2 linked regions of the Danio rerio genome follow. The protein of the gene in region 2 binds, or shares a complex with, the protein of the main gene of each other region. Links are inferred from orthologs where the notes say so. Each region holds a gene or a part of one and is shown on either strand. Other genes may lie near its edges. The genes, in order: erh and dgcr8.

Region 1 (4,361 bases), on a different chromosome or scaffold from region 2:
TTGAAAATAAAATAAACTGATTGAACTTTAGAATTGTGACTCAGTGCAAGACAACACAAATGAGTGATTCAGCATCTACATTTAATAATGTCAAAGAGGTTTAATATGTATTAAATAGATTTTTTAAAACTTACCTTTTCATGAGTGAGTACATATTCTGTGCCTCTAAATGTCTTTATTTAAATTTCTTTCATGTTTCTTCTGGTGCAAACAGCTAAATTGCTAATAACTACTAATCTTGTCATGTAGCATGTTGTTAGGGCATGCGGTTACAATGTAACCTGCTCACCTAATGTTTACACTCGTAATATTTATATTATTTGCAAATTAATAACCTCATGTGGAACTGAATCTGCGTCTCATTCCAGAGTCTGCTACTTTCTCACGGAGGTAGCGTTGTGGTCATGGAACCATGCTTTGAGAGCCTTTCTGAATGAATGAATGAGTTACTGAATGAATGAATGAATGAATGAATGAATGAATGAATGAATGAATGAATTGCTCCGTTTTTCACCAAGGCAACCCGGGGTGCTAAAATATAATCTAAAGTTGCAATAGGTGGGTTAAAATAACCAAAACAGAGACAGACGTTCCGGCACATAACTTACATTTACAAAGCAGAATATCTGACTTTAACATTGTTTTTCAGATAAACAAGAATGTTCATGTGGCATGTTTACTAAACATCTGCAAACATATTATAGTATTTTTATGCTTTAGAAGAGTCAAAACATACAGTACTTTTAAACTACGATTTAAAGGCTTATCAAAAGTTATTTATTAGTTTTACATTCGACAAGTTATCAAGACAAGCAATCAATCAAAAACAAAATGCTAATAATTCACATCTATATCACAAGTAAGCTAATAATACTGACCCTAAAATTATTATTATTTTTTTATTATTAAATTAAAAATATATATAAATTAGGTACAAATGTGTGACAATAAGAATTTATAATTTTGTAAACCATTGTTACAGATATAACATTTTGATGATAAAAACTATACTATGTATTTGTGATGTAGGTTAAAATTACAGGATAAATAAAATAAAATCATTAAATTATAAAAATTTAAATATAGAAATATTTGTAAATAATATTGTAAAGCCTATTTCTAATATTTAATTTTTATTTATGTGTGTGTGTGTGTGTGTGTGTGTGTGTGTGTGTGTGTGTGTGTGTGTGTGTGTGTGTGTGTGTGTGTGTGTGTGTGTACGTGTGTGTGTACAAAATTTAAACAAATATTTGTAAACAGTATTGCAAAGTCTTATATACATCGTTTATCCATAAATAATAGTAAATAGGCTGACTTCTTTTTCACTTGCAGTCATTTGAATATTACATCAAAATAATGAATACAAAATATGAAGTAAAAATTATAAGTAATGTCATTAACGACAAAAATAAATACCATTTCCGTAACAGTGAAAAAGCTTTTATCTTGAAAAGCCAACGCTTCGCCTACACCGGAAGTGTGATCGTTTCTTGAACATTCCTGCTGTTTCCTTCGCTGCTAACAGTGAATAGCCGTCAGTGGTTACCCCAGCGTTCAACGCCACTTTTATACATCAGGACCAGATATGGTAAGTATTTTGTCGATGTTTTTTCTACTCGTATATATCCTTAGACAGCCACCATATCAGAAAAATCGCGTTTCACCGACTGCTCCAACACATTCAACAAAAATAAAAGTGAACGAACGCGCGCGGCTAGCAGTGTGTTACGAGAGAACGTCGAATAATCCTCAACACAGCGAGCTTTCATGTGTCTCGAAATACCACACATGCAAAGTTAGGTTCTTTGTTGAAAGTTCGACCGGAACAAACTCCTGTTCAGCTTCAGTATTGGTAATATCAGTGTTTGTGAGGAACATGTAGTGTTTTAGTTTGGGGGAGGGTTCGAGTACAACAGCTGCTGTTTTCTGGGTATTGTGTCAAAGCATCCATATCAGCTAACGTTATATTCCCAAAGTGTATTTAGTTCATACGTCAAACATGAATAACTAAACAACACGTCATGTTTTTGAAATGAACGCACGATTAATCTCACTGTCAGGAGCCAAAGCTGTGTTCCTGTCAGTAGGGGGCTCCACGCAATTGTTTAATTCGTCGTCTAGATATGTAGTGTTTCTAACTTTTACTTGATTTATGATATAAACACAATAAAATGTTTTTTTCTTTATTATCGTTCAGTCTCACACAATTCTGCTGGTGCAGCCCACCAAGAGACCAGAAGGCAGAACATATGCAGATTATGAGTCTGTCAACGAATGTATGGAAGGTAGGATAATTCTTTTCTTTGTGTGTGTTATAAACAATTATAATGCTTTAAAGGGATAGTTCACCCAAAAATTGAACTATTGACCATAGTAGAAAAAACAAAAACTATGGAAGTCAGTGGCTTTAGGATTTCACCTCTCTTTAAAATGTCTTCAGAAAGTAAGAAACTCAAACTGGTTTTGTAACTGTGAAGAGAAAACAAATTTTTTTTGGGGTGAACTATCTTTATTGTACACTGAATATTGCACTACTACTTTTAATGCGTGTTTAACCATTTTCCTTCTTACCAAAAGGAGTGTGTAAGATGTATGAAGAGCATCTGAAGAGAATGAATCCCAACAGTCCCTCCATCACATATGACATAAGCCAGTTATTCGACTTTGTTGATGATCTTGCCGATCTCAGCTGTCTTGTGTAAGTAATCACACTTTTCACTTGACAAAGCCTAATGTCTAAGGTCCCGATTACACTAAAAAGTTTTAGTTTTAAAACGCATAAGTTTTGCTACAGTGACGTCTTCCGTTCAGATTACCCCAGAGTTTTAGATCATTGAAAGCGGAGTGTTTTGGAAATGCTGAAGAGGTCGCTTTTGTGTTAACCCTTTAACTGTCTGCTCTATCAAATGGTTGACCATATTTTGATTGTTTTAAATTAAGGTTTACACAAACAGCATTGTTGCTTTACAAAAAATCTAACAAACATAATCCTCTTGCACTACTACACTTAGTTTTGATTTTATTGTAAAAAGCAAAAAAAAGAAATCTTGAATTATTTAATAATAAGAAATATTGTATGGCATACTTAAAAAAATAAAGATGATTCAGTATTTAAAATGTTTTATTTAAATTGTTTTAAAATGAGTCATATTGTTATAAATTAGTCTTACACTTCATGTTTTTAGAATTTTTATAGTATGTGTATTGATTCTTAGTACTTTTACCATAAACCAACATATTATCCACTTGGTAGCGGTTGATATTTTTAAAATTATGGGATGTGATGGGGAAAAAATGCATCGAGTGTGTTAACTTTAGAATTTAAGAAATGCAATCCCAAGAAAAAGTTCTTGGTGGGGAAGTTAAAGTGTTAAAATACTGCTGAAAAATAGAGGCTCAAAACGGATCGGATTCAGGCCTTTTCCCAATATTAAATGCAATATTAAGTTCAGTCTTGCATCCTTTCCTTGAAAGTTCAGACTTTGCAAGTTTTATATGGAAAACTACCTCCTGAGGACACGTCGGGTAAATTTTCAATGGGAACAGTGTACTTTATAACAATCACAGCGTTCATATAGTCATTCATGTCACTCTGACTACGCTGCTTCACTATCTTAAAAAATCAATGAAAACATGATATAAGGATTTAAATAGACACCAAAAATGTTCAGGCATCGTATAGCTACATACTTGTATTACTGTCATCTTCACAGTATGCATATTTATAAGAAAACGGAGCCTGTAGACCCATAGGTTTCCAACCTTTTTTGCCTGAGACCCCCTTTTCTGCTGGAAAATATAGTGAGGCCATCCTCAACATTTAATGATATTATCGCTCATATAAGTTTGCAGTAAGGATGACAAAAAATGTTGCTTTCAAAAAGACTGTATGACTGTATCTCAAAAAGACTGTACTATTATCTCTCCTCCTTGGCGAAATTCTAGGCAAATGGCCAGTGTGGATGTGGATAGTTTTTGTTGTTAATTGCCGTTTTAAAACTAAAACATATCGGTGTAAACAGGGCCTATTAAATGCTCATGCTCGTCAATCATGTACAATTGTCTTTAATTATTTGAACAGGTACAGAGCGGACACACAAACCTACCAGCCTTACAACAAAGACTGGATCAAAGAAAAGATCTATGTGCTGTTGAGGCGTCAGGCCCAACAGGCTGGAAAATAAAGACGGTGGAATTATTGAACTAGTCCCCAACTACGCTTCATCACAGGACAGACGTGGCTGAACTGAACAGTGAATTGATGCCAACTGGTTCAGATTTTGTTGAATGCATGTCCTTTGAGTTATGTCAAAAGCATAGAGTGAAAATATTTTGCATTTTAAATCACATTTTTGTAACTT
Region 2 (4,398 bases):
AAGCCCCTCTTTATGTGCCTATTGCAGTTTTGCTTATGTCCATGCTTGTTTGTATCTATTCTATAATGCACTTTGTGTGGCCTTGTGGCCACATGCTATATCAATAAATAGAACTCAAAAATAATTACAAAACGTCAAGGGACAATAAAGCAAACTTGCTAAAAATTTTAACAGTGTAGCTAGAAAGAATGCTTGATGACTTCTGAATCAAGTTAACAAAGGGTTTCTGAGGCTCACTCTTAAGAATGGTCTTAATTTTGGTCATCATAGGCTGAACTCCGGCCTCCCCGTCTGAATGGTGATCACTGTCTCCAGCATATTTGTCTTCAGCCACACGCCTCTTCTTGGGCATGGGCATGCCTTCCTCCAACAGGGCATCTACATCATTGTCAAAGTCCTCCTGGAAGAGCAAATTGGTTAGTAACCAGCACCCACTAAAACATCAACTAGATATACACCAAGAAGCAGATTTGAATCAAGCCCACTTTATGAGCTGTGATTCAAATGTTCTTCAATGAGCCACCTTGTTACACTCCAGGATCCTTGTTGAAGAATGAAAAACACATATCTGCATATGACGCACAATTCAGTACATGTTTTATATGATGAACATCTTTAATTAGTCTGCATTATTTCAATTTAAAGGCATAGTTCATCCCGAAGACAAATCTGTGATCATTTACGTTTATTTCAAACCTTTGAGTTTCTTCTGGTAAACAAAACAAGATATTTTAAAGAAAGCTGGAAACCTGTAACCACAGACTTCCAACGTAGTTGTTTATCCTATTAAGGAATCAAAGGCTACAGGTTTTCAGTACTCAAAATACCACCTTTACTGTTCAACAGTATTAAGAAACTTAAAGGTTTGGATAAAACTCAAGGCAGAGTAAATTCTAATTGCTGGATGAACCATCCCTTTAACAAAGAGGAAATTATAATCGTAACAAACCATGCATTTTACCTCATAGGAGTAACTCAGGTCCTCCTCGTGCACTTGCTCCTGCTGAACTATCATCTGAGACCTGAAAGCACTTGGCTCTCCATCTTCCAGAAAGTTCTCGCTGAAATCTTCCAGGTCATCCAGCACAGCGAACTCAACCTTGTTCTCCTGCTCTGCCTCCAGCTCTTCTCTAGTTCTAGCTAAACCCATGAAGCCAGTGCTCATAGCTGAACTGCCAGGCACGCTTCTCATCATTACAGAATCATGCAATTCTCCGTTTATGCTCTCTAGGCTCTGATCTTCATCGCTAACCTGCCCAAAACCAGTGTACAACACCTTCCTGTCTTTGCTCTTACTGCTGTCCGAAAAGCTGACACTGATCTTTACGTCTCTGAGGAGTTTGAGATCAGGTAAAAACTTGGTAACAGGGGGAGCATGGCGAGCGGTTCTAGGGCAAGTAGTCATGGGGTCAGTACTATCTGATGGGCGGCTACTAACAGACAATGTGCGTTTGTTGAGGAGAAGCTGTTCGTCCCTGTCCACTGCTGGGGTGTGTTGGTGTCCATCACCACCAGAGCTAACGTCCATTTCCTCTGCGTCACTGGACGTTTGCAGGGGAGGTGGTGGAGGTGCTTTACTGTAATCATTCCCCGCCAATACTGCGTCAGGTGGCTCCAATGGGAGGGGAGGTAAAATCTCATTTACATCCATATTTAATTTCTTAAAAATAGCTATGCTAAAACTGATACAAGAACACAATTGGGGAGAGATGTGCCCGATTTAACTAAAACAATTGCAGCCCTAACACATGCATGTATACATTATAAAGCTTGAAACTCCTATTTAGTAATAGTCATGTACATGGTTGAATATGCTAAGCTGACTACATTGTTCTTTTCATTAATGTAGACAGCTTTTTAGAAATTACTGTCTCAATTATTGGAAATCACAATGCATTCAGCTTAAATGGTTCCCATATCTAAGCACTGTCCATCCCAGGAGGCCAGATCTTCTGTCAGTACTGAAAAAGAGAAAGGAAAAAGAAAAATCAAGAGACATTGGGAAAAAGTTTTATGGCACATTAAAACTGACTTGTAATGAATAGTTTCTTTAGGTTTTGAAATTAAGTAAATGCAAACGATAATTTAAAGAACACAGAAACACTGAGGAAGATGCATTTAGTTTAAAAATAAAATCAAGCCATGCATTTATGGTGCATTTTAGCTCTAATTACAAACAAAATAAAACATTTCCAGGTCTTAAATGCTAATTTTATATTGGAAGAGCAAATTAAGAGTGCAAAACTCTGCATTTTCAACGTTTAACTCATCACAACGCATAACGAAGTGGCATTACCTCATATTAACTGTGTATTTATTTGCTATACTGTAGTGTGATGTAGCTACATGACAGCCTAAAAAATAAACACTGTATTTAAAACGCATCATAACAAGCTGAAGCCCCAAAGGCCCTTGCTAAATTGTCGGCTAAGCGAAGCTAAACAAAATGGCTGCAATTCCTCACGACATTAAAAACTACAATTTAACGTCACATTGCTCGGCTATTAAACCAGGTTTGTTCAAGCTTTTTATTTTGTTCGGCAGAAACCAGTCGAAGACTCGATTAGTGAGTCCTTATACGGTATAAGAATGAATCGTACACGCCAACCGAACCTTTTCGACCAAAGCATGCGCGATAAAGATTAACGTCGGCAGGAGAAAATATCACTGATGTTTGAGCAAACGATTTTCTTTTACTTACCCAATTAGACAACGCGTCTACTGAAGCCAGCATGCAATCATAGGCATTTTCTGCTGATTGGCTTCAGATGGCCGTGTCTTCTCTCCGCCATCTTCACTGCAGAGCTGAGCAGCATCAGATCTTTCTGAACACGCCTCTCAACCGGCGCCCACGCACATGTGATTGGCCCAATCGGCTTGATTCATATTTACTGAAGAAACTTGCTTCCGATGTCGCTGAATTGCAATTTAGGAAGTCTTGATACTATTTGTGTGATTATTGGGGAAATGAAATAAATACTACACCCGTGCATTACCCAACACTCACAAAATTGCATTTATCAAGTGTGTAAGAATGAATTTTGTGAATGTGAGAGCACACTCGAGTGTAATTTTATGTCATTATGTAGTTGTTAAAACATGAATACACGTGTAACAAGTTTTTCAAACATGCCAAACTTTGTTGACGAGTCGTTGAGTCGAATCTTTCCAATGAATCTGTTGATTTACTAATGTCCTATTCAAATCTAATATGCAAATTATGTAGCCTATGTGATACACTGTATAAAAGATATACAATTTCGTGTTTGGATTTCAAATATAAAATATATGTCGTATACAGTGTGTAAAGTAACAGATTACAAATACTCAAATTACTCTGAGTAGTTTTTTTTCTCAGGATTAGTAATTTACTACATAGTTTTAACAATGTGTACCTTCCCTTGAGTACATTAGTGCTGTGTGTGTTTTACTCCACTACTTCCTTCAACCTGCAGTCACTACTCTATTTTTTCCTATCTATGGGAATTAGAAAATTCCGTCCAATCAAACCGTAGCCTACATAGAAAGTAAATCCCATCATACTGAACTACCTTAAGACACACAGCAAACAGTTTGGAAGCATTAAAAGTGTCCAATAAGGTACTTTACACCAGGGCTGCCCAAATTAAGTTCTGGAGGGCCAAAGTCCTGTAGAATTTAGCTTCAACTTGCTCTTGCCAGAAGCTTTTTAGAATACCTGGTAAAAGCTTGATTAGTTGGTTCCGGTGTGTCTAATTGTGGATGAAGCTAAAATCTGCAAGACACCGGCCCTTCAGGATTGAGTTTGGGCATCGCTGCCCAAAACTGATCGTATATGTAAAATGTCATACAATAATTTTGTCTACCAAAAGTTACAAATATGCAGGGGTGTATTAGTCACCAATAGTATCTGAATGCAGATTATACAAGGCAAGCTGATTTGTATGTGTGTGTGAATTATTGTAATATTTAACACTTGCAATTACAACGCCCCAACATCTACTTGTATGAATGGTACTTAAAAAATAAATAAATCAAGCACATCTGCACTTGTATATATTCTTGAAAGTATTGTGCTATGAACATACACAAGGGTTAATCAGACGAGGCAGCAAACGGGTAATCAAATTCTGTCACCCTCCTCTGTTTCTCAAAAAGTTCACGTTTGCCTTTCATTTGTGTCTTGTTTATACTGCAGAAAGCATATGGGCACATGTGGAGATACTGTTACATTCAAATCTGTTTCACACAGAAATCAAACTAAGAATGTATATGTACTGCAGTTTAATGTAGATCCTTATATATCATTTCACAATAAACACTGCAAATGCAAATGTTTTCATATGACTTTATGAAACTTTTATCTTTATTATTAATAAACAACTTTACGTTTATAATGGCATTCATGAATTCACATTA

Evidence for each region.
Region 1: the proteins of dgcr8 (region 2) and erh are in contact, whole or in part, in a crystal structure (PDB 7CNC), measured with the Homo sapiens proteins. The link is inferred for Danio rerio from reciprocal best matches to the Homo sapiens genes DGCR8 and ERH. Residues at the interface, in NP_073557.3 of Homo sapiens: Lys107, Phe108, Ser109, Pro110, Asp111, Leu112, Leu114, Leu115; in NP_004441.1 of Homo sapiens: Val8, Pro10, Thr11, Thr18, Tyr19, Ala20, Glu27, Lys34, Met35, His39, Arg42, Met43, Phe60, Leu64.

Annotation. Positions count from the first base shown.
Region 1 is NC_133195.1:36,361,604-36,365,964, reverse strand, and holds the start of erh (enhancer of rudimentary homolog), read left to right. Parts: upstream 1-1,454; 5' UTR 1,455-1,585; coding exon 1,586-1,588; intron 1,589-2,197; coding exon 2,198-2,285; intron 2,286-2,577; coding exon 2,578-2,698; intron 2,699-4,081; coding exon 4,082-4,184; 3' UTR 4,185-4,361. UniProt on the Homo sapiens protein: May have a role in the cell cycle.
Region 2 is NC_133180.1:25,176,421-25,180,818, reverse strand, and holds the start of dgcr8 (microprocessor complex subunit DGCR8), read right to left. Parts: upstream 2,814-4,398; 5' UTR 2,702-2,813; intron 1,962-2,701; 5' UTR 1,652-1,961; coding exon 962-1,651; intron 401-961; coding exon 238-400; intron 1-237.